Oryzias latipes: one gene and its partners. Each later gene encodes a partner of the first gene's protein in a complex. Links are inferred from orthologs where the notes say so. Each region holds a gene or a part of one and is shown on either strand. Other genes may lie near its edges. The genes, in order: polr3g, polr3c, crcp, polr3d, polr3k and polr3f.

Region 1 (4,868 bases):
TTATGAAATCTTGACCACAGTCCAACAGTTGGAGCTGCTCTGCACAAATGCAGATCTGATGTAAGTGCAGAGTGCTGTGTAAATGTATGCTTTAACCCTTGTGGTATCCTAGGCACTTTGACATTGGGAGTGAGGTCATCTAATCTAGACCCCACTAGACAGCGCGCTGAACCTTTTTTCTTTAATGATTTGTGATCTTCACTGGTTTCCATGGATTACATGAAATCCTCTCCATCTTTATCCACGGTAGGGAGAACACGTCAATGGCCATCTTGACCCCATAGGATAGCACAAGGGTTAGACAGGGCTGTTCATTCCTGATCCTCGAGATCTACCACCCTGACGGTTTTCCAGATCTCCAAGTCCTGCTAGCGGATGATTAGCTCAATCAGATGTCTCCACATTCTGATTGAATGAACACACCTGCTCCAGGTAGTCAGCAGCAAGCAGTGCAGGGAGAGATGGAAAACAGGCAGGGCGATAAATCTCGAGTACCAGGAATGAGGAGCCCTGGTTTAGAAAATGCTTATGTCCAGAATATACTTATTCACAGACAGGATGGTGGGTGATAAATATCCCAGTGCTTTGCTGTGTGTGTGAGAAAAACCTACACACTCATTCCTGAAAGTAACAGAATCTGCCAAAGTCATCAGCATGGTGACTTAAAAATAGATCAGCTTTGCAGGAAGAGAGCCAAGACAATGGTGAGGACCACACAGTATCCCAACCTCACCCATGTGCAAATATTTGAAAGTCTGGTTTCTTGTGTCTGGCTTGTCACTGGGCCATCTGTTAATTTCGTTTTGCAGAAATTTGGTTTGAGAATGAGAAGGATTTTGAAACTCTAATACACTGAATGAAGTTTTTAAGTTGTAGGTTTGACCCCAGATTTAGCCCCCACTAGCACCAAGCACCACATGTGTGCTGACAGATGCCCTGCCTACCCTCTTGCAGTATGTGCGTGGGCTGAACAGCCTTGACTTTGTAGTTCCTTGCTCTCCACCCTGGACTGGGGCGCTCGGCTATCTCCCTGTCGCTCAACCAGGTGACCGTCTCGAAGTTGTCTCCGTTGGCCAGCGCATCGACCTCTGCGCTGTGGACGCCCACCTGTTGGAACTGATGCAGACCCCCCGAGTGGTCGAAGTGGGCGTGAGTGGCGATGGCCAGCAGCGGGTTCTTCCTCTGCGGGTCTTTTCCCAGCAGCCCCTTGGAGTCGATGTAGTCAGGTAAGCTCCTCAGCCCCAGGCCGGTGTCTATCACCACGTCCTGATGCGAACCGCGGAGCAACCAGATGTTGGCCCGGTTGTCCGATTGATAAAACCGCTCCTGGATCCAGAATAGTCCGTCTCCGAGCGACTTGTGGGCGTACCAGTCGGCTGCAGACATCCCAGGACATGCAAATGTCGAGGTAAGCTTCGGAAGGGAGACGCGCCGTCGGCTGAATTAGCACAACAGTGTTAGTAGCCTCGTAGCTAGGAGCAGTGTGGTTTCATTGAAGCTGTAATGATGGTGGCCGCACACACCCTTGTTTGAAAGCAGCCAGCCCATTGGTCGAAGTGAGAAATGACGGTAGATGTGAACGCGGCAGCGATTGGACGAAAATAAGAAACGCCCTATTGGGACGTAAGCAGGGGCGGAGAGGGGAAAGCATCTGCTCACGCTGACTAGTCTATTGGTTACACATGCGTTTCCCAGCCGGTTCCACAAAAAAACCATAGAAAGAAGCGATAGGTTTATTTACTTATCTTTTTCGCCTAAATGTAAGCTAAACCGCTAAGCCACAAACTCGGACCGTTTAGCTTTAACAAATAAATCAAATTCAATAAGATTTCATTGGGAAACACGTGTCATTTATAGTTATAAAACTTTATTTTTTTATCTCACGTCTCCATAAAAGGAGAGTTTTACCAGCAGGCCTCCTGTAAGTATTTATGAAAAAATATATATCAGGGAAAAATTGTCATTTCTCATAGCGGACTCAATGGTGCAATACCGGCAAGCACGTGCTTGTCAATGACGGTGCTTGCCTGAGGATGAACCGTGTGTTGCAGGTCGTGGTCAGGGGCGCAGCCATGGCAGGCAAAGGCCGCGGGGTGGCTGCGTTTACCTTCAACATTGATGCTCTGGGCATTGGCAGAGGCAACATGCCAGAAGCCAGGGTGGGGCCCAGTCCACTGTTTCCAGTAAGTAAATGCCACACAAACACGGAAAGATGGAAGGTTTAATTAGCAAAAATTCAAGTTTTATTTAAGTAAAATAAATTGGCATGTGTCATCAACGTAGGGCTTTTAGTGTACTCTCCCTGTGTAGTCTCAGTACTTTGTAAAATGTGCTCAGAAAGCAAACTATGATGTAATCTATTTTGTGTCAAACACTTGGTTTATGGACACTTTCTGAGAATGACTGCCTGCTTGGATTACACCAATTTTCAGATAAACAAGAAACGTGTCACTGTAATAAATATCTTGCATCATTTGCCCTTATTTAGACTACTGAATTTAAACCGGTTCCACTCAAAGGAGGTGAAGAGGAAGACTACATGCTGGCGTTAAAACAGGAATTAAGAGGAGCAATGCAGAGGCTACCACACAACATTAAAGCTTGCTCCAGCAAAACGGGTAGGGGGGAGAGTGCTGACATATGAGAGATTTCTACGTCAAGATAATTCTGGGCTGCTGGAAGTGGAGATAACTGCTGCTTTTGGGAAATCAGACATTTTATGAGTGTTATACATAAGAGAAATGAGATTCTATAGTTACTGCTTATGCCTCATTATGAAGTTTTCAATTGTTGTTGTTTTTTTAGGGGTCCATCATTACAGATATTTTAAACATCTTTAATTTTCTTTGGTCTATGACATAAACCCAAGAAAAAACTTAAAGGAGTACATTTAATTTAAGTCACCTGTTAAAAAAAAGACAATTTCTAATCCAGGTTCCAGACTTTTGATCATTAGAAAATACTTTTTAAGATTCATTTATGAACAAATAATTTGGTACAATGCATAAATGTCTAAACAATAAATTTATTTTTGCTGTAGCAATGAATTGATTCCAGAGATTAACTTTCATTTGTTTTTTATCTTTTATGTTTAGTAAAAAAATTCTCACTGATCTGATACTTTTTTCAAATGTACTCTGTTGTTCTGTTTACATGAAACAGAGGTGGAGAAATACACTGAAAGATACTTGAAACAAGCCCAGATTAACAGTGAGGAATGGACTCCAGGTAATTGCTTTAGATGGAAATTTTTTTTTCAAAAGGTGTCATGTAAAGTAATGCAAACATCGTGTCACACATTTCAGACTGGAACCTTTTTCCCAAAGAACTGATGCCCCAAAGTAAAAAACGTAGAATTAAGAAAGGTAAATTAAAGTCACATTGCATGCAGGAAATGTTGAATGCGTGTTTTTTATTTATTTAAAAAGTGTTTTTTGCTTCAGGCACCAAGACTAAAACTGTGAAGAAGTTGAAGGAAGATAAAGCCAATGTGCTCAGTAAACTGGATGTAAGCCTATCTTCCTTCTTTAGCTTTTTTAGACTATTTAAATGTTTTTTTTTCTTAATTGAACTTTGTACAAGGATGTCTTTAGGCGCTGTCATTCGGTGCTGAAGTTAGTAGGCACATGCCTTTAAAATAAAAAAATCTAGTTTGGAAACTGCCATAAGGACAGAATAGTTTAAAGCCATGTGAAAAAAGATTATGGTTGTACGAAGTTTTAGCAAGATTTTGCAGAAGTCTACATCTGTGTAAAATATAAGGCACAATTTTACCTGTTTTTTTAATACCAACATTAGACTGAAAAACGCTTATTGTACTGGTGCTTCTGATTTTGAATTGGTAAAAAAAGTAAAAATCGCATGTCCCTTTCTGAAACTGATCAAATTACATCAAGTTTAAAAACAGTTTGACTCTTGAATGATCTTGACAGACCCATCTTTAGTGTCTGATGGGCTTAAATCTATTTAAAAAGGAAACTGTTCAGACTTGAACATTTCTTCCTTAACTGATCGGCTTTAAACACATTGGCCCAAACCATACTGCCAAGCAGAACAAAGAGAACTGCTGTGAAAATGTAGACTTTTTTTTAAATGGGAAGAAAGCCTACCATTTAGTTTGAATCCCACCCCAAAAAATCTGCTCAGGAATTGGCCAAGAAAGATGAAAATCCTGAGAAGTCAGATGAGGAAACTGAGAAGAAAGCAGAGGACGATGAAGAAATCGAAGAGGAAGAACTCGAAGAAGACATAGAAGAGGTTTGGTCCCAGGAATAGTGGAAAATCTGCATTGGTCTTATTTGATGCAACTAATGTTTTATCTGCTTGTTGCTCCTCAGGAAAATGACTACATTGAAAGCTATTTTGACAACGGTGAAGATTTTGCTGCTGAAAGTGACGATAACATGGATGGGGAAGCAACCTACTGAAGCCCATTTTGCATGGCTTTGACAGTTGCATATGAAATGTCTGTTTAGCTAAAGCTCGTAAGCCAAGTAACTTCATGTTTACGCCATGTAATTATTTAATGGATATGTATATATAAGCATAAATATGCAGACTTCAAAAAATAAATTATTCAAAATAGATATTTATTAAGCCTGCAGTATATTTCCAACTTGAAAGGCACACAGTCAACAAAACTGTCACAGGATAGCAACTGTACAATACATAACATTTAGGTAATTTATCTGGGAACATTGCATATTAAGATATTGATGCACATATGCAGTTTTACCACAGTTTCATGTCCAGCCAGATTCAGGACACTTGGATAAAACAAGGTTTCATTGAAAATTCAATACTGGTAGTATCACTGAAGCTCAGTCTTGACAATAGTTTAAAACCCCGTCATAGTTTAACACAATAGT
Region 2 (4,916 bases), on another chromosome or scaffold:
GCATTAAAAAGTGGGTCACAACAATAATGTCTTTTTAGATTGTAGTTCACTCGATTTGGAGTGCTAAATATACAAATGAAATTCACAAATGTTCTTAAGGTTGAATTGAAAAAAAAAGTGACTATGAATTACAGAAATTATTTTGGTCAAAGCCTTTGAATTCAGATTTACTCACAAAACTCACACAATTACTTGTAATAAATAAATGTTATGTATTGTTTTGTTGATTTTTATAATTTACTTTATATTTCAGGTTTAAAAAATGTTTGATATTATCTTTGCAGTTGCTTGATCCAACACAGAAAAAGAAAATCACAAAGAGACAAGTGAGTAAATCCAGAATTAGTGACCAATTATCTGAAATTTAAAAATAATGGGGAGGCAATAGTCACAGCTCTGTTTCCAGTTTACTGGTCGATTAAACAAATAGACGTTTGGATGTTTATTTTTACTTTATGGCACAGTAAATCACAGAACCCTCCATCTCTGTATCAGTCTAACAGATTGCTTCTAAGAAGCTAACAGGTTGCACTTTTTAATTTAAACTTTCAGTCAAAATCTAGACACAACATAAAGCAGTGTTTCCTAAAATTCGGGTTATATAACAAAATTCATTTACTCAATACATCAGCCAGTTATAAGCTAAATTTATAAAACATGTAAGAGAACACATTCATGTTAGAAATTCAGATATTTCTGGTATTTATTTTAACCTGTCCAAATTTTTTCTTGTCCAAAATGAAATACTATAATCATTATCATCAACAAAATAACTTATATTTCAATGATTGAAAAATGTGTGTCAATTTTTATTTATTTACCAAGGAACATTTGTTTCAAAAACACAAAACGGAGTCAACAAGAGAAAAAAAACTACAAATAAAAAAACAAACACTTACAGTTAGTTAAATGTTTTTGTAAAAACGTAGGAATGTCCTTTTAAATAAATGGCCTTTTAAAGAATATTTGTAAAATAGTAATAGTAGGCCATTTAAACGCCTCTTCTGCCGACATTGTTACGTTTGACTTTAACACTAAAACTGAAAGTAAACCACAACGTATGACATCTACAGAAAACTTCCCCTGCTTATACTGCCACTGCTGTTAACAGAAACAAAAACTAAATGTGTATATATACTGAAAAGGAAAATCTGAGTGACAGTTTATGAATAAATAAACTCTCAGATTAATTCGGGCTGTTTTGTTCAAAAACATGCATCTATCATTTACCACCAAGCACACAACTTCTACCTTGAAGCACAGAGATTAGCGTAAGTATTTTAAAACAGGCACGAATAACAAGACCTACTATCGTTAGTTTTAAGAGTAGCTTAGTTTCCCCTAAAACGACTAACCGGAGTTTCTTTACTGACTTAACAACAACAAACACTGCTATATGCTAATAGCCTATGGGCTTAGCTGTAGCAAGAAGTAGCCGAAACAAACAGCTACCTGCCGGAAGGCAGACTTGTCAGCCGCGCATAACACTCAACATAAAATGAGCGAATAACCAAAAATAACGCGACTTACCGGGAGTTTGGGATTTACTTCTCCCTTACAACAGTGACAGAAAAACCGATGCGAGGGAACAGCCGCAGCCTCCGCCATCTTCCCGGAGCAGCACAAACACTGACGTCGGTCCTCCACTAGCTGAAGGGAGCTGTCCGCCCCCAGCCCGGCATGCACTGCGGCACTGTTGTCGAATCACAGCAAGCAAAAAACCGGGAGCGGAAGTGTCTGTTTGTTGTCATCGACTAGCCTCATGCGCTAAACTATCTGCACGGAGTCTGCTTTCATTGCGAGATCTGAAATCGAAAAAGGTTTGTGAAAAAAAAAAAATGCCAGGCTTATACCATCAAATATTCAGAGATAATTTAGTAAATTCCCAGCATGCAATTGTAATTTTACTATCCAAAAGCCCAAGGGGGAAAGAACTTGAACAACTGTTGACTTTTCAAATTAGAAGAGATAGTTTACATGCACTGTATGCTATAAGGGAAACTACTTAATGACCGATCTAACTTTTTATTTTTAGATTTTACCTGTTGGAATAAGTGGTGCCTGTTTTAACAAAGTAAAATACTATTATTGTTGTTTGTAGTTCGTAAACTAGATGTATAGAGATAACATAACTAAAAAAAGTGCTGTTTATTGAAAAACTAAACTGAACTAAAATAAAATTGATTTATTGTTTATATTGGTTCATGTTGAACGATCAAATCCGATCCGATTCACTGATCTAAAATCGATCCAGAACATCTTTAGCCAAGAATTCAACCAGTGGGACTCAGAAAATAAATACCTGGATTCTGAACAGTGCAGGGGAAGTTTTCCACATTCCCTGTATTTTTTTGCAACATAATTAAGTGTAAATTAAACATGTTTACAAACAAACAAGTAAAAAAGAATGAATGGACAGTTTTACCTACATTTTGCTGCCATTCGATGTGTTGTCTGTTTTAACGTTATAGTTAGAAAAAAAGCCTACTGTGCCTTAATCCAAATGGTATTTTCCAATATTGATAATAATTGATTTATTTCCTTTTAAAATTAATTCATATTGGTATAGTTTGATTCGATTAACATCTTGCCTCAGATGGATGAATCGATTCATCTTTACAGCCTACTAAAAGCACATGCATTAGTTCTTATTATTAACTTAGTGGTTTTCATTGAACTGTTGGTGTGTTTGTGCAGATGACAGCCCAGGAGGTCCGTCTGTGTGGTCTTCTGCTGCAGGAGCACTTTGGAGAAGTGGTGGAGAAAGTGGGAAGAAATCTGCTCAAAAGTGGAACGCAAAATTTAAGAGCCATTGTTCATGAAACTGGCTTGTCAGTGGATCTGGTAGGTCAACGCAAGACTGAGATTGCATTCGCTGTAGTCAGATGTTCTTTGAAAAATAATCAAAATTATTCATTATTTGAATTATTATTCAAAGCAAACGGTCACATATATTACTATGTCCCTTGCAATATGGCAAAAGTTAGTTCTTTAAAGATATTTGAACAATAAGAGAAACAAAATTATAATGTAATTATTCAGGTAATATATATTCATATTTGAAAACAGTTTTACCTGAAACTGATTGCTTATCAGTTTTTTGTCAATACAATACAGTGATGTCTGGTAATGTTCATGTACTTTAACAGGACTTCTTCTTCTTTCATCAAGGTAAAGAAGTCTCTGTGCGTTCTTGTGCAACATGGAGCCTGTTCGTTTATTCAAGGTCGAAAAGGACCGGGGAGCCCGACGGAATACAAAGCCCACTGCGATCGGGTACTGAGAATTCTGCGCTACCCACGTTACATATACACAGCCAAAACGCTGTACGGCGACACCGGTGAGCTTATCATAGAGGAGCTGCTGCAGAGGGGCCACATGACGATGAGCAACACAGTTAAGACAGTCGCAGACCGTCTAACTCAGAGTATGGACGGTGAGCATCAGAATCAAACAAAAGACTGTCCATAAAAGAGATGATCTGTTTTCTGAAGGTTTTTTTTTCAGTTAAGCTTTGGATTGAGGCCTAAAATATCGCGATCAGTAGATTCATTTTCTAATGAATACTTCCTTTGATGTTTTGTTGATACAGAGGGGTCGAGCATGGATTATGGTGAAGTGTCCGCCACCTTTTCCAAACTGGTAGAGACTCATTTTCTCCAGCGCTGTCCCCCAGCAGCAGGAGCAGGAACGACAGGGAGCAGTCAGACTGCCAATTCGACTTCTGCAGCTCCTGCCAGCAGCACTGCACCCACACCGGAAAGCTTCCCCGACTGCTACAGGGTTCCTCAAGTGACACTCATAGGCCGGAGCAAACGCTCGCTCGCCAGCGAGGAAGGAGAGGACCAAAGAAATGCGAAAAAAGCGAAAATGGACCCAGAGGTCAGAGAGACGTTTGTTAAAGCAAGATGTTCACTGCATATGCTAAGACTTCTATGGTTGTGACTTCTGTTTGTCTTCTCATAACTTGGATCTTTGGTGCTCAGACTCATGGGGATGAGGGGATTTACTGGCAGGTGAACTTTGAACGGTTCCACCAGCATTTCCGGGATCAGACTATCATCAGTGCTGTCGCCAACAAACTAGATCAGGTGGGAATTCCACAAAACATTTCAAACTAACCATTTTTTTTATTCATTAAAAGAAAAACAGGTTTTGAAAAATAATTGCCTAGAAAAAAAAACCCAAATACATTTCCTCAGTGTATAATTATTTGATGGTTAAAAGTAAAAATGAATAGTATTTGAAAACCCTCTTTGTATGGCTGAAGGAATTTAGCATAAGCATTTGGTTGTTTGATAAGACTATCTGACTTTGAAGTATTGACCTTAAAATCAAAGAAAATTCAAATTTTAAATGAAATAAAGTGATAGTTTTTGGAAGTACTCCTAATAATTCCTCTTTTTTCTTGGATTGTTCTCTGTGCTTTAAATACTACAGCTTTTTACATTTATTTCATTATTAATTATTTATTATTATTATTTATTATTAACTAGCTGTCTTCTCACATCTTTCCTACCCAGACCAGCAGTGAAATAGTGAGAACCATGCTGAGGATGAGTGAGGTGACAACCTCTTCCACTGCCCCGTGCACAAAACCCCTTTCAGCCAATGAGATCTTCAGGTCCCTCCCAGCTACTTACAACATCCCCCGCCATATATTGGACCAGTACCTCACTCTGCTGGTGGATGACCCTGTAGGTCCTCCTCATCTCAAATATCTCTCTGATTTTTGCTTGGCTCCCCACAAAATGCTCAAAAAGTTTCCCACTTTTCCTTCCTAAGATGGAGTTTGTGGGGAAGGCTGGGGAAAGTGGAGGAGGAATGTATATTGTCAGTATCCTTTCTGCTCACTTGAAGGTTCAAACCATCCCACAGGTGTGCGTGTCATTCGCTACTAAACCCAAAACAAAAGC
Region 3 (4,825 bases), on another chromosome or scaffold:
AGGTTTCTGTTCATTTCTCATATGAAAGTCTGGACCAAGCCGATGTGGGGTTGGAAGTGAAAGATGTGGTTTGTTTTGAATACAAGCCTGAAATACGGGACTGGGCTTTGTTGAGGCTAGACTCCGATCAGACACTGCCTCCTGGTCTTTTAGAGCACTTTGGTTTCCTTCCACATGGTGGTGGAATCAGCATTATCGGGCATCCTCAGGGAGGTGTGAAAAAGATCGACCCCTGTTTGATTGTTCCACACAGCCAGGTTGTTGATAGGGTTCCCCTGATAACCAAGTATTTCTTTGCTGATAAACTTTTGAAATACGAATCTAGTTTTTTCGAAGGCTCCTCTGGCTCTCCTGTTTTTGACAACCACTGCAATGTGGTTGCAATGCATTCAGGAGGATTCACCTACGACAAAGAAGGGATGGAAAGACGGGCTGTTGTTGAATATGCCCAACCTCTGCATTTCATTTTGGAAGATTTTATTATCCAAATGGTGGAGGGAAAAAAGTTTGACGTTTTGAGAGAATATCTTGATTGCAGCTACACTCGAGGCACCGCCGTCAAAGACGGTGTCAAAAAAATAGTTGAGAGCAGAAATAACCAACGGTTCAAAGAAGCTGCAAGGAGCTGTGTGGATGACAAAGTTGTACAAACATTCCTTGAGTTTTTCTGCCAAACTGAGGAACCTGTCCCAATGGAGGTTGTTTAGGTCTCATCATCTCATTTTATAGTTATCCTGGGCTTGACTGCAGTAAAACAAAGAAATTCCAGCAGTGAAAAGCAAAAATTAAACGAAAGCTTTAAACTCAGCTTTAATAAAAGTTAAAGCTTTAATTTCTGCACTTATTGTTTACTTTATTGTTGCTCCAAGCAATTCACATGCACCTGTTTAATATAATTATGTGATTTTTCTGTCCCAGAAACATTTTTAACCATCACTCTCCAGTTCAGAGAAAAAATAATGCTGGAAAAAATCTGTTCACTCTTGTATATTTTACTTGTATGGATGTCCAATTCTTACATTTCAGTCTTGACTCATTCCTGTATCAAGTTCTTGAAAAGAAATGCCAACAAAAGGTTTCCTTTTTTTGGTTGTTTTATTATGTTTTGGGATTTATTTGTTTTTTCAAATATAGATTACTCATTACTCAGTGCAGTAGCATAAAATTCATTGTACTTTTTCTGTTTTTGTTTTTAAAAAGCAAAAAGTGTTCAATACTGTGTGCTTCAAATCATGACTAATGAAACTGTATTAAAATCTGATAAAAGTGACTTCTAGTGTATTCCTTTTTTGTTCCCTTACCCTAACAGTAAATGTTAAATGTTTAATATGTTTAAAATAACCCTCGATGTGTTCAGGGTGTACTTCACCTTCTCCCTGATGCTGCTGCATGAGGCTCTGGAAGTCCTTGTTAATTTCATTGAACTGTTTGGTGAAGGGGCTTTCGAATTTACACTTTTTGAGATACTCTTACATTGTTTTTCATTTTCAAACATCTCGGCAGTGTTTCACTTTTTTAAATATTTATTCTGTTTTCTCTGATCCCACGTTCTATGTAAAAATGCGTTTTTTGCTAGGCGGAACCAATATACTCCCCTATTTTCTACACGAACCCCTTTATTGTAACGGAACCTAAGAGTCGACATGGAAGTGTAAGATTTTTTTTTTAAGAACAAAACAACGGCTAATAAGTCTTTTATGTATATTTACATGTACAATTTTAATTGTGATCGATGGTAGTTTCGTGCGTGTTTCAGTTTCGGGTTTATTATGTGATGTTTTGCTTGTTCCGTTGGGATGATGCTGTCGGCCAAAAAATGGAGAGATGATGATCGACACACAAAACAACTGAATTAAAACATATTGAGTCCGGGAGACTTTGATCCATTTTGAAGAGTTTGCAGTCTACAAATGTTTTAAATTGTATTATGTTTGGGGACGAAGTTAGAGACGGGACAAAAGGTCGCGAAATCGTTTATAAACGTAAATTTCAGAAGATGGGAGAAACAAAAAGCACGGGTCGGATTAGTTTGAGTTTGTGTTATCAAATATTTGTTTCAAATCATGAAACATTCCATTTACAAACACATTCTGCGTTGGCTCTTCAATAATAAATGAATTAGTTATGACATGATGAAGCAGCTAAAAAACATTTTGTCATCTAATATAAGCCAACTCAGCCGCACTCCACAACATTTGTCAACTTGTCACTTGAGCTCTGATCTAATTCATATTTGCCTGAAATCACAAACTTAATTTTTCTAAATAACATTGAAGCAAAGAAATATGGGAAACAGGTTTGAATTTAAACAGTATTCTGTCTTGTTTTTCATTAGATTTATTTATATTTATCAAAAGTTTGCTTTTTTTAATTGTATTTCTTTTCTTCTTCAAACTTGAAAAACAAAAACATTTGCTAATATCTATTTCAGTAAGTTTCAACGGCTTTAAAATAATCTAATTGATGGGTTTCTAGTTTTTAAAAAGGGAAAACACAAAAAAAAATTATTGCTGTTCATTAAAGAGAAGATCTGAGGTTCCGATTAAGAAAATTTCGTTATATAAATAAAAATCAAGTAGAGAAATCCAGCCGTTCTTTTAGTAACACAAGGATGTGAAGATCAAATCACAGAAGAAAAATGTTTACTAAATATATAAACTACATGGGAAATATTCCAATCTTATAAAGCTTGTTTTGGTAACAGATATTTTAATTATCTCATAATTTAATGTTTAACAATTGTTATTTGGGTTTTTTTACACAGAAAAAATGCAAACGCGGCCATGCTCAGTAACTATGAGGTGAGACTATAAGACTGTCTATTAAGGGTTTTTGTTGATTTTCCTGCCTGGTAATGAAATTAATTATTCAGAAAAGCTAAATAATGTCTTCGTCTCAGGTATTCAAACTTCTCACCGACCTGAAAGAACAGAGGAAAGATGCTGGAAAAAGCAAACATAGCCTCGGGCAACAGGACCTCAACACCATCATGTATGAAGTGGGTACTATTCATACTGTCTGAGCTTTAGTTGTCAAATCCAGTCCATGTTCTCACCTGCATTTGCTTTCAGACTCTAAAGTATTTGTCAAAGACGCCATGCAGCAGACAGAGTCCTGAAATTGTCAGAGAGTTCCTCACCACCATGATGCCTCAGAAGCTGACCAAGTCAGTATCTAAAAGATAATATTTTTCACCCCTCTGGGGCTTCAATTGTAATTTCCGCTTAATAAATGATGTATAGTTTGGGGATAAAAATGTCTCAAAGTTAAAATTTTGCCATCTTTCTCTCTTTAAGGGCAGAAAAACTGCAGCTGTTAAACCAACGGCCTCAGAGTGCAGTGGAAATTCAGCTTGTAAGTATTTTTCATGTCTTTCTAAATGTTTTATCTTTTTTTCCTAAATAATTTACTCATGTATTCCTATGGTAGCTCTGTATAACAAATGAGATCTTTCTCATATTTGTATTTTTGTTAACTCAACCCAAAAAGGCTCAAATCTAACCCAAAACATGCACTTTTTCACATGCATCCATCAGCAACTTCATTTGTTACATGTAGATTGCCCTACAGGTTCTACCACTCTGGTTTTTTCATGCTATTCCTGTCTGCAGGGTTAGTTTGAATGGGCAATTCACAGTAAATCCAGGCTTGAGCCCATTCCTGTAACGCATTAATAATCTATTGAAGCAGCTATTACAAGACAATGTTAACAATACCTTATACAGCAAACCAAAAAGACCCTCATGACCCGTTTAAGCAAAGCCTTATTATTGCTTTAGCTAAGCGTTGAGGTTATGGCTGTGATGGGTTTAGAAATATTTAATCCTTAAAATGGGTACATTGCACTATTTGACTAAAAATCAAGTAGAGAAATCCAGCCGTTCTTTTAGCAAACTGAGTAACACCAGGATGTGGAGTGCAGACTTCTGATGCTGCTTCACTGGGGTGTGGTGTGTCCCGAAAAAATCTTTTTTAGCAACCAATAATTACTCACCTAAAGCCAAGTGTAGAAGGCTCCCTCTATTAAGAAATAATCTGGTTTCATAATGCAACAGCAATTATATATTGTCCTAAATCAGTTATTCTAGAGCAGATTATCTCTTAGAGTACATTTTAAAAAGTGAATTTCCAAAACTATATGGAGCCTCTTAAAGAACTGCACTCCCTGTTTACCATTTGTCTCTCTGCAATCTGTATCCTTTTAAAATAAAAATATTTTTTTCAATACAAAGCAGCTATAAAGCAGTTGTTGCAGTGAACACAAATGAGGCCATTTCCATTAGCATCCACTAACATGCAGTTCTAAAACTCAGCCTGCAGATGTCGCCCTTCTCACTTTTGAGATGCTTTTAACCCTTGTGCTATCTTAGATGACCCCACCCTTACATTGACGTGTTCTCCCTACCATGACAAAGGTGGATAAAGGTGGAAAGATTTCATGTAATCCATGGACACCAGTGAAGATCATAAATCATTGAAGAAAAAAGGTTCAGCGCACTGTCTAGTGGGTCTAGATGACCCAACTCCCAATGTTAAAGTGCCTAGGATAGCACAAGGTAAAGCAGTCCATCTCCCAGTTATCTCAAGGTAGTTAACTGTGTCATTATGTGATGGTGATTCCATGTTATATTTGAAGGAGTACAACTGATCCAGTTAATAACCAGCAAGAAGGCCAGGAATGACGTGGTGCCATCCATAAACTGACTGAAATATAGAAAAGTAAAATGACAAATTGTGTTTTAGAAAGAGAAATGGAAAATATGCACATTGGTTCTCCATTTATTTTTATTTAAATCTGCATTTTCCTTTCACAGACAATGCATGA
Region 4 (4,917 bases), about 1.2 Mb from region 1:
TCCTGACACAGAAAGGGGGAGCTGGACAGGGCAACTCCTCTGCTCACTCTTTAGGAAGGGGTCATCAATAAACTGCAAGAAGGGGAACGAGAAAAAAAAAGAGAGAAATGCCTTTTGGTGAAAGTCTGTGATGGTTGTAACTAAGAGAAGGATGGACGTACATTGTCCCGCTCCAGCTTGCGCAGAATTTCCTTCGTCTCCTCTTCAGTCTCCCTCTTCTCCTTTTTAATGTTAATGATGGGTGAAGGCCCCATGCTTGGAGCATCTCTTTCGCTTTCATATCCACCTATGAGGGGGGGGGGGGGGGGGGGGGGGGGATAAATCATTTGAAACTTTAAAAATGGCAGTTCAGCTGCAGCAGCAAACTGCATATGCTAGTCCTGCTGGCCCCCCACCTCTCCTTTTCATCATCATCTCGGCCGGCCCCTGCTCAAAGATAGAATGGGACTGGATGATCTCTTGGCGACCTCGGCCCCTGCCTCTGTCTCTCGGCCCTCGACCACGTTCTCCACCTCTCCGATCTCTCCTTTGATCAGTCTCAACTTTGGCTCTGTTGCAACCAAAAATTTTTTTTTTAAAACAGTTAAAGCTTCAGTTTACACGAATTTTATTTGTTCTTCACTGCATTTTTCAATCCTAGAAATAAAATCAACTTACTCCTCTTTAACCTTTCGGCCAATGATGTTGGGTGTGAAGGTTTTCTATAAAATTAAAAAAAAGATAAATGAGTAATAAGAAAAGCTGTTTATTTTTGAAATCTAGAAAAAAAAAATCATGATTGCAAGTAGGGCAAAAGAAGCTACAGAAGGGTTTCTTAATATATCTGGTGTGATTAACTCATCTAACACAATTCCTAACCCAAAGATTAAATGGCGAGTGAGGTATGATGCTAACCTTCTTCACTCCTCCCAGGGTGAGGTCCCTTGACCGCATGGAAGGGAGGCGTCCAGGAGAGAGTCCAGCTGGTGGTCGACGCCCCATCTGGAGTCCTACATTGCTGCTGCTGGCGCCTGCAGGAGTGGGAACGCGTTGACTGCTGGACTCCCCGGAGTCCGCCATCCTGAACTTTAAAGGGATGTCAAACTCCCAACCTGGTGGCCAACAATAATACTCATCATCATCTCTCTCAGACAATGGTGATGTTTAAAAGGAAAATACACAAATATTACATAAAAATTGTTTTCAAATGTCTTTATGAGGAGGTTGCACACATTTTACTGCCAGGTGAAACACTACTCTGGATTCTGTTGGCGTGTGCCTTTAAAACAGTTACGTAATGTCCAGGGTGTGTGGCATCTTTCCAAATACAACTCTTTCCCAATCAGTCTGGTAGTGCACTTCCTATCCCCCTCCCCTCTGTTCTTACTACTTCCTGCACGGTCTTCCTGTCCTCTGTTGTGCCTTCAGACAGCGCGGCACTAGAACTGAACCCTCATTGTTGGCCTTATAAAACCTGACCAGCAGTTCCTGAAAGAAGAGGGCCTGCCTCAACTTCCTGAGAAAGTACTGTGTTCTGACCAGGTGATCTCAGCTGTGACGTTTATTTATGGCCCCTCATCCTCGTGTGTCGCCAATCATTGGATTTCAAAGTAAAGCTACAGGCTAGAAGTTCTTTTGTTTTGTTTTTTTGGCCCCTATGCCAAAATTTAAAAGAACCAGCTGTTATCTCGCAAAATAAGATCAACGCACTTGTTTTTGTAATACATCTTTGCAAGAAAATTAGCAATGCTCAACAGCACGTGACACTAAAATTAGCAAAAAGATAAAGAAAAGATTTTTAGTGTCTTATCATCGCTACAAAAGGGGATTTGCGTGTCCCTCCCTTCATGTCCACAAATTCTGTCACTTGAACTGCAGCAATATTTAAACTTAATTTCATCTTCAAAAAATACAAAAGCTCAAAAAACAATTGAAATTTGTAAATTTTTTGGACTACTGATATAAGTTTACTCTCGTATTTTCTCTTTTTATTATTATTTTTTTTTAACTTTATTTTATTTTTTTCTTTGTTTAGTTTTATTTTATTTATTTATTTTTATTTGTTATTGCCTTTTGTGATTGCTTCTAATAATTAAAATTTTCTTAATGTTGTAACACGTTTATTCTACTGTACATTATATGTGCATAATTGTTGCATTCTCTTGTTCTGTATGTTGCAATTGTCCAATTAAAAAAAAGAATTCTGTTATTTCCCTAAACAAACACATTGAGCATGCGCGTCTTACAGGGTATGTTTGATTTGTTGTGCGGGGACGCTCAATTCCTTCACAGTCAAGAGGGCATGTTTCTGTGCCAGCTGGAGGTTGGTTAGTTTGTAACAAGACCAGAAAATCGATCAATGATTTCTGCTGTTTTTCTGAACACTATTGTGATTATGGTCACATGTCTTTTCTAAATTAATTGTTTTTCCACACATTGCAATGGAATGATGCTTTGACATTTCTTTGCTAACATCACCATCACGTCGTTTTTACGCTATAGTTAAAAAACCAAGCATGTATCTGAATGGTACTTTCCAAGATCGATTATCAATTTAATATAATTTTGAAAGGATTTTATAATGGTACAGTTCGATTTGAATCCATTATCAACTTGTTTCAGCCACAAAATCTGTTTTGATGTGTCACTTTATTAATTAATCATTAGACCCCATACCTAAAATTAATGTTATTGAGGTTTACATTAATGTAATTTGTAATAATACCGGGATAAACAAAAATATACTTTCAGTCCGTTCTGTAACCTTTTTCTTTTTATCTTTTTTACTCTGTTGTGGTTCTGAACGTAAGCAATTCAAGACATTAATTAGGAATGATTTCTTAAACTTTCGAGTCTAAGCATTGAGAATAAATTGTGTTTACAATGATATTTGTCAGTGATTTAAATACACAACCAGTATTTACATACGATGAATGAAGAAAAATGTTACAGAAACACGTGGCTAGTAAGATAGATCACAAACAACGCGAAAGCTGTCCAGAGGAAGTCTTAACATATTGCAGTTCTCCAAAAACTTACACGACACGTCCTCGGTGGTCCTTATTCGGAGTTTTCCCCCCTAAAACCTGCCAGATATCAGAAACAAAATCCTGTTGCCTCGTCCACCGCTGCATTCACTAGCGGCGCCATGACACTTCCGCTTTGGCTTCAACTTGCTCTCGAGGATCAAACATGCGCAGAAAAACGCGCATGCTTAGAAACATTATTTTGTTTTATTTTTATGTTTTATTTCAGAATCCACAGTCCAAAAAAATTCACTGTCATAAAAAAGATAAGATTAGATAAACGATTATACTAGTCTTTCCAAATGTTTCCTAAAACAGCTAAATGAAAATTATATTTTGAGTTCTGACATATCGTGCATTAGTTTTCCTGCAAGTTTTGTCAGATTCATAAAAATCTTTTGCATGGATTAATGTTATTGAATGTTTTGAAATAAATGTCTCAGATGTGAAGAACCAAAAGATATGGCATATTTCGAGATTGGAAATTTTTTTTTTCTAAAGATGTTATTTTCCTCTGACATGCTAAGGGAACTGATTATATTACTACTACTACTAACAATAATAATAATAATAATAATAATAATAATAATAATAATAATAATAATAATAATAATAATAATAATAATAATAATAATAATAAATATTTCATTTGTTTGGGCACTTGTTTCCTTGGTTATTTTCTGTCTTACAGCAAAATAGTCTTATGCAACATTCACGCTTTTATATTTCTCGCCTTTCAGCATATTCCTTCTGGGGTCTCGACAGCGAATCAGCTTTCCCTGATTCTCACAGGTAGCTTTGCAGAGATTTTTGCGCCAGATGATCTTCCTGACACAACCCTGTATTTTATCCTAGCTGGGGACCGGCACAGGGGAACCTAGACTTGGGCCCCCTTGTGGCTGCATAGTTACGCAGTACAACAAAGGGTCTTGCCTAAGGGCCCACACTGCATCAAGTTCATTGTGGCCCCTGGGAAGCGGATCCTGGTTTCCCATGATCCAGTCCTACACAGAGCCAACTGAACTATCCATTTGCTACCTTATGCAAACAACTGCATGCAGTTAAATAAAACAGTAAGATTAAATATTTCCATGCAGTTAAACAGATTAAATCTAATATAAACTCTAAATGGAAACTCACATCTTTACATTTTTAAGGAATTAAAATAGAGTTTGTGATATAAGTAATGAATGTTCCTACTGTGTGATATAGTAATAATACAAATAATCTGTTAAAGGAAACATCCAATAGGCCTTCAGAGTGCAAAGAAAATATTTGTTTTTAATATGTGAAAAATATAAATAGATGCAGTTAAATAAATCAATTTGATCAAACAGGGAAAGTTTAGGTTACCTTTTTATGAGCTGCATGTCATTAGAGTATGGTTTAGTGTGAGAAAATATTAAAGGGGAATTCAAGATATAGAGTTTAGATGATGTTTGAAACTCCAAGTTTAATGACGATTTTTTTTCTTTTAAGAATAACTTGGCAAGAAAAATGTATGTTTTTTTATGTTCTATATACACAAAATGAAAAATTTGCCAAGCAGAAGGAGTCAATGTATCCTTTTCAATGGGTCTCTTCAAAGACAAAAGTGTGTACTCATCTCCAGAGCAGAAAGGATTTCATGAACAGTCGGAATTGCCATGACTGATGATGGATGATTGCAGTTTAATTACATTCTGAGGGCATCAGTTCTCTGCTGCTGACTGAAAGTAAATTAGACTCTTCAGTACCGCACACTGTCTGTGGAATTATGGCAACACACCATGGCCATTTCTGAAATACAAGTAATATAGGTCGTTGAAAAGAATACACTCTCACTTTGGACCCTTTCCCATGTTTATATCAATTCTTTCAGTAGCCGATTAGTCCATAAATCTGAAAGAGCTTTTATTTAATCTTTAAAATA
Region 5 (3,809 bases), on another chromosome or scaffold:
ACTTATTGTTTTACTGTTACTCACCAGTTCCTCGTGTCTGTGATCTGCTTTCATTGTAATGTCAACATTTGCACTTTGTTATGTTTTTAGCCTTTTTATTCCTGAAGAAAGGGTTGTCCTGTTTTAATCAATTCCCTGAAAGAAGTGGAATAATTTCAAGCATAGAGGTAATATATAACTGGAGTTAATCAAAACATATTTGATCAGAGATTTTAGTAGTCTTTGTGTGCCGAGGACATGGTTATGTGGAAACACTACATGCCATCTCTGTGATACTGAGATTGTAGAGATTCCTCACTGATTTGAAAGTAGTAAACCGTATTTAAGCTGGAAAGGGATGCAGCCATCATTGCATTGATCACCTAATCTTGACATTTGTCATCTATGACATAAATAAATGCATGTTAGATGAAGCGATAGCCTTGACTGAGCAGTCTTTTCAGATTAAGCTAAAAAAATATCAAAAATACAGTTTTTATTGGATAAACCACTAACAGTGTAAAAGCACTGTTCCGTCACAGCATGTCCGATTTCATTTTTCACCAACGCTTTGGAGGTGCAGAATTTGTCTGCATGAGCTACACATCCAAATAAGTGATTCTCTTTGGCTGGCTCCTAGATTTGTATTTTTTTTTCTCTTCCTTACCTTAAGGATGATTGAGTTGCTCTAGAAATTGCATTTTGAGCTCAAGGATTGCATAGAAAATAAACGTGTGGGAACCAGTGGTATGCATTGCTCTCAATGTCTGCAACAAGATACAAACATCTAAGACAATTGAATTGACTGATGTACACAGGTATTATTTTATCAATAAAAGCTCTGAAATAAAGAATTTGTCCGTTGATTGATTCTGAAAAGCAAATTTTATTTATAAATAATAATGGGTCCAAAACATTCTTTACATGTGCTTTGATTGCCATTTAAACTAGAAATAATGAGTGAATGAAATAAAATGCTCAATCTCTCCATCTGTTTCCACACTGAGCATTACAGCATTTGTAGAAAGTCGTCATTGGTTCATCGGCTGATCTGGTCTGGATCTGCATGAAGTAGGCTCGAGGATGCTCGCATTTGGGACACGTTTCTGTGAAAAAACACAAGCAAACATGCATATATGTACACACATGTTCAGAATTTTAGTTAGTTCTCGGATTGAACTTCTTTCTGTGGCCCACATTCAGGTTGGTACTCGCCATAGCATCACACAGCAACACTGCCTCTAGCAAAAAGTAGTCCATTTAAGTGTACTACAAGTATACTTAGAGTGAGGCAGTGTACTTGAAGTTCAGTCTATATATAGTAAACATAAAATGTCACAATTTAGTCAGAATAAGTGTTAAGTTAATGTACTCCCTACACGTTACATGGTCAGCAGTATATGTGCAATACTTGCATCCAAGTACACTTAATAAAATAAACTTCAAGTGTACTTGCAGCTAAGGGTGACTATTAACACCCTTTAAACACGCAAATGGACTGTTTCAAATAAACTTTAATTTATTCCTATGGAGAACATATTTGTCTTAGTAGTCAAATTAGTTTTTCTTGGCCTTTGTTTTATATTATTCTCTAGTCTATCCATGTTTTTTTTTAATTCTTGGTAACAAACTTGTTTGTTACCTGCAGTAGAATCCACGTTCTCCCACGCTGCAGCTCCACCCAGCACATCATCCACCTCTTTCAGCTTGGGATATTTTCGGTAGTTTACCTACAAATATTGAAAAGTTTGAGATTAAAAACCACCCTAAGAAATGTCGTGTTTGTTTCTCGAGTCAGAGTCAGACAGTGATAAAAGGAGCGTACCTTTCTCGTGACGTTGTGCACATAGGGACAAGTGTTACAAGCGAATCTCAAGCATTTCTGTCCTTCTTCTACGATTAAAACGTTTCCACAAGTAGGACAAAAAAGAAGCATATTACCAGATTATTTAAAGAAAAACTATCTCGGGAAAGATAGTAGCGACTACGAAATTCATTAGCAAGGAGAAGCAAAGCGGAAGCAGTTGCTCCGGTTTTACAGCTCGGTAGGAAACAAAAAAAAAAAAAACGTTTGTTAAAAATGAAATTGTTATTGTTAAAGAATGTATATAAATGTATAAATATATGTATAACATTATAAATAATATAATTATTTTAAAACCCCACCATCCGCCGCATGAAAAAAAGTTCTTACTTTTGATAAGCGGAACTATTTATCATGTTTTGATGATACCACCGGTATAAGGTCTGCGACACACAGCATTAAAATTCACACCAGTCTTGGGATACATTTTTGTAAACAGTATCCTATTATTATTATTTTAAGAATCTTTTGTACTTAATTGAACGCGTCAAAAAAGAGAAAGCGGTTTCATTTTTACTGAATGTATTTATTTTTAACCAATAATAGATGATGGAGCAGGAAACCGACGAAGGAGAGAATCGTTTGCAGGACAGTCACAGTCACAGTGAGGTGAAAGAGGAGAAGCTGGCTGATGAGACAGCTCCAGATGCCGAGGAGGAAGATGAGGAGTCTCTTCCACATTCAGAGATCCTTGATATCTTCGAAGAGGGACTTGCTCGACTTGTGCAGGACCCTTTACTGTGTGATCTGCCGATCCAGGTCATAGAAAAACACCACACTCCGCACACCAGGCAGATGTTTAAAGAAAATTTTCATAAATTGTAAATTTAACACTAAAGTTGAAACGCGTCCTTCTTCCGGTTTGTCTGACGGCATATTTGCATAGCAGAAAATAGCTGCATATATATTCTTGAAAAGCCAAATCGAATCCAATTTCAAAACAATCTTATAGCTCTAATTTATGTTTTCTCTCCTTTTTCTTCTTGAAACTGTTTATACGATTTAAGAATTATATACGAATAGCAATGAAATAAATGTTCTAATCTAGAATTAAGTACCAAACATGCATAATAAAAATAACAAAAACACAGGTTATAATCCATAACATTAGTATTGTCAGTATTGCTCTTGTAACATTGGACTATTATACAATAATCACATTTGTTTTTTTTTAATCTCATTTATTATTAAGCCCAGAAAGAAATCTGTTATTTACAACTGGTTTATCTTTCGTATTTGCAAATTTGTCTTTGAGAAAACATGAAATGTCTGCAGTTATAAAGGATTAACCAAGTCCATTTGACTGATTTTTTTTTTTTTTACCCTCTACTGTGTTAGAAGGATGAGAATCCACAATCTGCAATATTTTTGTGTTCAGGTGACTTTGGAAGAAGTAAACTCCCAGATTGCATTGGAGTATGGGCAAGCAATGACTGTGAAGGTTGTTAAGGCAGATGGGGAAATCATGCGTAAGTTCCAAAGTCTCCCAGCTGATTTGTATAATTAGTATGTGTCTATATTGTGTTTGTATGACTATGTCTGTGTTCACTGCCTGACTCATCAGACCTCATAACCTTCTTCTATCGCTCTGGAGTCCAATCTAAATGTTCCCTGACAAACGTTTTTTTTCTGGTTGGCCTTAATGGTCAGTGGGTTTTTTTTTAAGGGTGCACAGCTCTTGTGTCCCGCATTATCCCTCCAGTTTTTCATAATGTGTTGGACAGTTCTTAACCCGTTCGCCCTCTCTGCAGTTTCTTTTGATGTTTAATTTACCGCCAGTGATTTGACCCGTCACCAACAAACTAACATCTCTCCCACAGGATGTGTTTATTGACTTGGTGGTTTAAAAAGAGGGAATCAACTCATTGCATCAGTTGGGATTATAAAACCTGTTACCCGTTGACAGACAATCACCCCATCGCCCAAGCAGACAGTCGCCCATGCAATATTTATCCAATGGGAGGCG
Region 6 (4,735 bases), on another chromosome or scaffold:
ATAATAATAAACTGGTTCTCTCTGGTATCGTTCAGGGGGCCGGGTCTAATGGGGGGGCGGGCCATCGTTTGGGGACCCTTGGTTTTAAGGATCTTTTCCATTTCCTGTTTATAACGAGCATGGATGACGTTACACAGCTTGTGGGCGGGGCCTTTGGCCGCTCTTGATGGGAAATCTGAAAAAAGATCTTTCTTCAAAATCACTTCAGTCAGAATTCATGAGTCGCTTTTCACACAACAGTAAAACTTTATTAACTTAAATCAGACGTAACCAAAGGAAAGGGGCGGGGTTCCATGGAGGAAAGGGGCGTGGCTCCATGGAGGAAAGGGGCGGGGTTCCATGGGCGGAGTCAGAACTCCAGCCACTCTGTCATGTAGATGCAGGTGGATGGCGAGATCTCCCCCCCTTCGTGACAGTCGTCAAACACCTGCAGAGAGATTGGGGGGGGGGGGGGGGTGAGTGCCGCAGCCGGAGCGGCAGCAGGGGGCGTCGGAGCGCGGCTTACCGGGCACAGGCCGCAGGGCGTCTTCACCAGGCCCGCCGGCGGCAGCACGGCGTTCACGCCGCGGTACAGCTTCATCTGTCCGTCCACGCTGCCCACCGTCCCCTCCTTGGCGGCGATCACGGTCATCTCCACCTTCCCGTCGTAGATCAGCGTGTTCAGGATGGTCTCGATGTCGTCCATGGACAGGTCCACCTGCACACGGGACACCTGTGAGAACAGCTGCAGCTGTTGGGAGGGGCTGTGAGGTCACGGCGGGGCCACCTTGCTGATGCCCAACTCGCTGATGTACTTCCAGACTTCGTGAGACGTGGCGAAGGAGCTGTTCCTCTGAACCATGGGGCTCTGCTGGCCGCCCCGCGCCGCCTCCGCCTGCACACAGGGGTGAGTGGGGGTGAGGGGTGGGCCCCTCAGCCTGGTGCTACGTTCACACACGTGATGCGCGTTGAAGACCACAGAACCTTTGCTCGCCTACGGCGTTCATTCTGGACTGTGGCTACCCGGCGCCGTCTCCTGCGGTTGGACGACTCGGTGGGAAACGTCCAAATCTGGTGAGTCTTTTGTTCACAGCTCGATTCTGATCCATCATAGACTTGGCGTCGACACAAACCGCAGTTATTACTTTGTCCTTTCTGATCAAGTTTCAGTCGTTGGTACTTCTGCTTTGACGCCATCATACGTCGCAACCAACTCAGAGTCCCTGATTGGTCAAAGTTCAACTGGTTTCACGTTCAATGGCGGCGCTTTTTGTAGAGTTTGGAGGCGGAAGCGTAGACGCGTTCCCGTAGACTTTGGACTCAAAGCGGTCCCTTGAACGCGTTTCCCGGTGTAAACGTAGCTCTACAGCTGACCTCTGACCTTTGTGACCCATTGGTTTGGTGTTCCGTACATTTGGGTTCTCCATACCTTGCTCTGCAGGAACTTGAAGCACTGCTGGTTCAGAACCTCCACGAACTCGGACTCAAAGTCCTGGTCGCTGTACCAGGCCCCTCCGGTGACGGAGCGGTCCGGCTGCACGTTGTACAGCATGTAGACCTTCTTCTTGGACGCCTGCGTGGCAGACGAGCAGAGTTCAGGACTGCCGGCGGCCACAAGCACGTCTGGACCGGCTCGGTTCTGAACTCACGGCCACAGATTTGACGGCTTTGATGAGCTTCTTGCTCTCCAGGTTCTTCAGGATCTTGTTGATCTCGGTCAGAGGGAGGTTGCTCTTGAAGCGGATGTCTCTGCTCCAGATTCCTGCGAACAGAACATCTGGGAGGTTCTGACCCGCGGTACCTTCTGGAAGGAGGCAGACAGAGCTCACCTTTGTTTCCGGCATCCTCGATGATCTGGTAAACCAGCTTCTCCTGGTTGTCCGAGCCCTTCATCTTACTGAAACAGAGGATTGGGGTTCACGGTGGACAGAACCAGAACCTGCAGATGGAACGCTGCTCACCTGGCTGTCTGAGAATCTTTTAATCTGTACAGAAGACCAGAACTGTTCCTGAGCAAGTCCAGCTGGCCCTGGAACAAACACCAGGTTACGTTAGAACCCCTCTGCGCTGAAGAATGGATTGGGTTGTTCAGAACCGGACTAACCAGGGACAGCAGCTTGTTGATGGCCAGGGCCCTCTGCTGCGGCTCCAGGTGAGGCATGTCGTTCTGGATCACCTGGTCTGTGATTCCCTGAGGGAACTGCTGACACAGCTCTCTGATCCTGGAGACACACAGGCGTTCAGAGCTGAAGTTCCTGGATCAGAACCACAAGGTCCAGTCGCTCCAAAGATCAGACATCCCATAATAAACCCTGTGTCAGCTTGGGTCTCATCTCCAGTTGGAACAAAAAGGAACATCTTCAGATGGACCTCTCCAAGACGGAGGTTCTAGTGTTTCTGGTCCGTTCAGAACGTCACGTTGGATCTTCAGAAATGGTCCAAAGACCGCCTGAACTCTAGAATCCGTCTGACCCATCCGCGTGTTCTCTGAACAACATCCAGAACATCCAACAGCTGCAGCGATAGTCCTCGGACCTGGACCTTCAAACCAGGACTCGGATCTAAAACCTTCATACCGGGACTCGGTTCTAAAGTCTGCAGAACTGAACTCGGTTCTAAAGTCTTCAGACCTGGACTCGGATCTAAAACCTTCATACCGGGACTCAGTTCTGAAGTCTTCAGACCTGGATGGACTCGGTTCCTTTAGTCTTTAGACCTGAACTCACGGGACTCGAGTCCGAGTCCAGTTATGAAGACATTAGACCCGAGTGACTCGAGTCTAATGTCTTCAGACCTGCACTCGGTTCTGAAGTCTTCGGAGGTTTACTCAGATCTAAAACCTTCAGAACTGGACTCGGTTCTAAAACCACCTGAGCGTGAGCTGAGTCGGTCTCCCGATTCGAACCTCTGGAACCAGACAAAGTGGTTTCGGTCTTAGAAGCCTGCTGAGGTTCGGTTTAGAGTAGCCTCCGGAACCAGAACCGTTTCTGAACTTAAGACACGCGCGCATGAAACAAGCCAAGGAGCTGCTCGTAGATGAAATGCACGCGCTTCGGTCATGGACCGGCACGCGGCAGAATCGTGAGGTCCGAACCTGGTCTCCACCTCTGCAGGTTCCGCCAGGTTCGTCTCTTTCTTTACCCGAACCTCCGCCATCTCCCCGGTCCGCTGCTGCCGGTGACGCCGCTTCTTCTTCTGGGGGAACCACGGAGACCGGAGCGTTACCGCCCCCCAGCGGCGGGAGAGGCTCGGTCCTGTGTGACGTCATCAGAGCACGTGATGTCCGTTCACGTTTTTTTTTGTTTTTTTTTAATTTTGTTTATTTGAACTTTAAACATACACATAATAACAACATACAAAAAAGAGAGAAAAAGAAAATAAGTAAATAAATAAAACAAAATATATAGAATTATAGTTTACAACACTAGGGATTGTCATACAGCATGTGATCTTCAATGAAAACACACAGTTTTATTGCATTTTTGTTTTTCATCAATGTCAGAGATTTAAAATATAAACTGATTTCTTTAAGAAATGTATTAAATAATGGTTTCGTTTTTACAAATCTGCACTTGTGAATGAAAAATTTCCCAGATATTAATAAGGTATTGAATGTCAAATCAAATAGATTATCACCAGAAACTACTCCAAATAATATAATGTGCTTTTGTAAGTGAATAGAAATAGGAAAGGGAAACTTTGAAGAGCACCAAAAAAAGAAATCCTCCCAAAAACTGTAAACATACATACATTCAAAAAACAAATGATCAAGTGTTTCAATATTTATATCACAAAAAGAACAGTTATTCTCTGGAAAACCTAAACGTATGTGTAACAGTTCTTTGCATGGATAGACTGCATTCATTATTTTAAAATGGATTTCTTTGTATTTTGGGAAAATTGGATATTTAATGAACTGAGACCTCAACTTGCTTATTTCCTCTCTTGTGTAAAGCTGTGACATAGAATGATTTATGTCTAATGTTGGAAACAGGACGGCTCTAACAAATAAAGATCGTATAAATGAGTTTGGAAGTTTTGAATTAACCGGTCGACCATCAAACAACAGAGAGGGAAGCTGAACTTGATCATCATGAACCAGACTGGAGGACATTTGGACCAAAGTCTGAGGCTTTGATCACATTATTATATTATTTTCTATCATTTAATTTAAATTTACTGGAAAAAGTTTCAAATGAGATAATGTTTCCATTGTCATTCATAATATGTATTAATGACCAAATACTGTCATCAATCCAATGTTTGTAAAATATTGATTTGTTCCTACATAAAATATCCCAACAGTTCCATATGGAGTATTGTGTGAACTACAGTTATGTTTGTAGAGGAGTTTCCATACAGTAACAGCTGCTGATGATGAGTAGAAAGTTTAATAGGAAGTTTTCTGTAATCAAAATCACATTTTAGAAGCAACTCAATACCCCCTAGATGAGAAAAGATGTTTGAGGGAATATGAAACCAAATATTTCTCCCATTTTGCAGAAAAGACTTAAGCCAATTTATTTGAATCATACCATCCAAACTTTCAAAGTCTGAGGCTTTAAGTCCACCTTCACTGTAATCCTGAATTATTGTTCTTTTTTTATGGAATTAATTTTGTTTTTCCAGATGAAGTTGAAATTGTTCGGGTTTATTGCTTTCCTATGCTGGATAAATGAATCTGGATCAACATTCTAATTTAGTGAGAAACACTCTGAATAGAAATGTCTCGCTGTGACCAGATGTTTACATTAAC

The links.
Region 2: polr3g (region 1) and polr3c share a complex: the UniProt entries of both Homo sapiens proteins name them as parts of the RNA polymerase III complex. The link is inferred for Oryzias latipes from reciprocal best matches to the Homo sapiens genes POLR3G and POLR3C.
Region 3: polr3g (region 1) and crcp share a complex: the UniProt entries of both Homo sapiens proteins name them as parts of the RNA polymerase III complex. The link is inferred for Oryzias latipes from reciprocal best matches to the Homo sapiens genes POLR3G and CRCP.
Region 4: polr3g (region 1) and polr3d share a complex: the UniProt entries of both Homo sapiens proteins name them as parts of the RNA polymerase III complex. The link is inferred for Oryzias latipes from reciprocal best matches to the Homo sapiens genes POLR3G and POLR3D.
Region 5: polr3g (region 1) and polr3k share a complex: the UniProt entries of both Homo sapiens proteins name them as parts of the RNA polymerase III complex. The link is inferred for Oryzias latipes from reciprocal best matches to the Homo sapiens genes POLR3G and POLR3K.
Region 6: polr3g (region 1) and polr3f share a complex: the UniProt entries of both Homo sapiens proteins name them as parts of the RNA polymerase III complex. The link is inferred for Oryzias latipes from reciprocal best matches to the Homo sapiens genes POLR3G and POLR3F.

The regions. Positions count from the first base shown.
Region 1 is NC_019867.2:16,255,389-16,260,256, reverse strand, and holds polr3g (DNA-directed RNA polymerase III subunit RPC7), read left to right. Parts: upstream 1-1,671; 5' UTR 1,672-1,921; intron 1,922-2,051; 5' UTR 2,052-2,072; coding exon 2,073-2,183; intron 2,184-2,488; coding exon 2,489-2,618; intron 2,619-3,162; coding exon 3,163-3,228; intron 3,229-3,305; coding exon 3,306-3,365; intron 3,366-3,443; coding exon 3,444-3,508; intron 3,509-4,146; coding exon 4,147-4,257; intron 4,258-4,337; coding exon 4,338-4,427; 3' UTR 4,428-4,586; downstream 4,587-4,868. Other genes in the region: mblac2 (metallo-beta-lactamase domain-containing protein 2), read right to left, coding at 945-1,386. UniProt on the Homo sapiens protein: DNA-dependent RNA polymerase catalyzes the transcription of DNA into RNA using the four ribonucleoside triphosphates as substrates.
Region 2 is NC_019874.2:18,839,859-18,844,774, forward strand, and holds the start of polr3c (DNA-directed RNA polymerase III subunit RPC3), read left to right. Parts: upstream 1-1,701; 5' UTR 1,702-1,820; intron 1,821-2,697; coding exon 2,698-2,844; intron 2,845-3,171; coding exon 3,172-3,436; intron 3,437-3,592; coding exon 3,593-3,882; intron 3,883-3,986; coding exon 3,987-4,091; intron 4,092-4,523; coding exon 4,524-4,697; intron 4,698-4,785; coding exon 4,786-4,837; intron 4,838-4,916. Other genes in the region: E3 ubiquitin-protein ligase RNF115, read right to left, coding at 1,531-1,608. UniProt on the Homo sapiens protein: DNA-dependent RNA polymerase catalyzes the transcription of DNA into RNA using the four ribonucleoside triphosphates as substrates.
Region 3 is NC_019872.2:8,448,572-8,453,396, reverse strand, and holds the start of crcp (DNA-directed RNA polymerase III subunit RPC9), read left to right. Parts: upstream 1-1,567; 5' UTR 1,568-1,643; coding exon 1,644-1,651; intron 1,652-2,764; coding exon 2,765-2,801; intron 2,802-2,899; coding exon 2,900-2,998; intron 2,999-3,071; coding exon 3,072-3,166; intron 3,167-3,296; coding exon 3,297-3,354; intron 3,355-4,825. Other genes in the region: protein FAM111A, read left to right, coding at 1-707. UniProt on the Homo sapiens protein: DNA-dependent RNA polymerase catalyzes the transcription of DNA into RNA using the four ribonucleoside triphosphates as substrates.
Region 4 is NC_019867.2:17,411,259-17,416,175, forward strand, and holds the start of polr3d (DNA-directed RNA polymerase III subunit RPC4), read right to left. Parts: upstream 3,139-4,917; 5' UTR 3,019-3,138; intron 1,092-3,018; 5' UTR 1,060-1,091; coding exon 895-1,059; intron 702-894; coding exon 658-701; intron 551-657; coding exon 396-550; intron 287-395; coding exon 162-286; intron 73-161; coding exon 1-72. UniProt on the Homo sapiens protein: DNA-dependent RNA polymerase catalyzes the transcription of DNA into RNA using the four ribonucleoside triphosphates as substrates.
Region 5 is NC_019866.2:8,138,246-8,142,054, reverse strand, and holds polr3k (DNA-directed RNA polymerase III subunit RPC10), read right to left. Parts: upstream 2,022-3,809; 5' UTR 1,916-2,021; coding exon 1,805-1,915; intron 1,710-1,804; coding exon 1,622-1,709; intron 1,086-1,621; coding exon 958-1,085; 3' UTR 846-957; downstream 1-845. Other genes in the region: snrnp25 (U11/U12 small nuclear ribonucleoprotein 25 kDa protein), read left to right, coding at 2,390-2,602, 3,222-3,312. UniProt on the Homo sapiens protein: Core component of RNA polymerase III (Pol III) which synthesizes small non-coding RNAs using the four ribonucleoside triphosphates as substrates. Can mediate Pol I proofreading of the nascent RNA transcript.
Region 6 is NC_019859.2:414,206-418,940, forward strand, and holds polr3f (DNA-directed RNA polymerase III subunit RPC6), read right to left. Parts: upstream 3,233-4,735; 5' UTR 3,136-3,232; coding exon 3,074-3,135; intron 2,202-3,073; coding exon 2,084-2,201; intron 2,009-2,083; coding exon 1,941-2,008; intron 1,877-1,940; coding exon 1,809-1,876; intron 1,742-1,808; coding exon 1,629-1,741; intron 1,553-1,628; coding exon 1,409-1,552; intron 875-1,408; coding exon 767-874; intron 698-766; coding exon 506-697; intron 428-505; coding exon 350-427; 3' UTR 223-349; downstream 1-222. UniProt on the Homo sapiens protein: DNA-dependent RNA polymerase catalyzes the transcription of DNA into RNA using the four ribonucleoside triphosphates as substrates.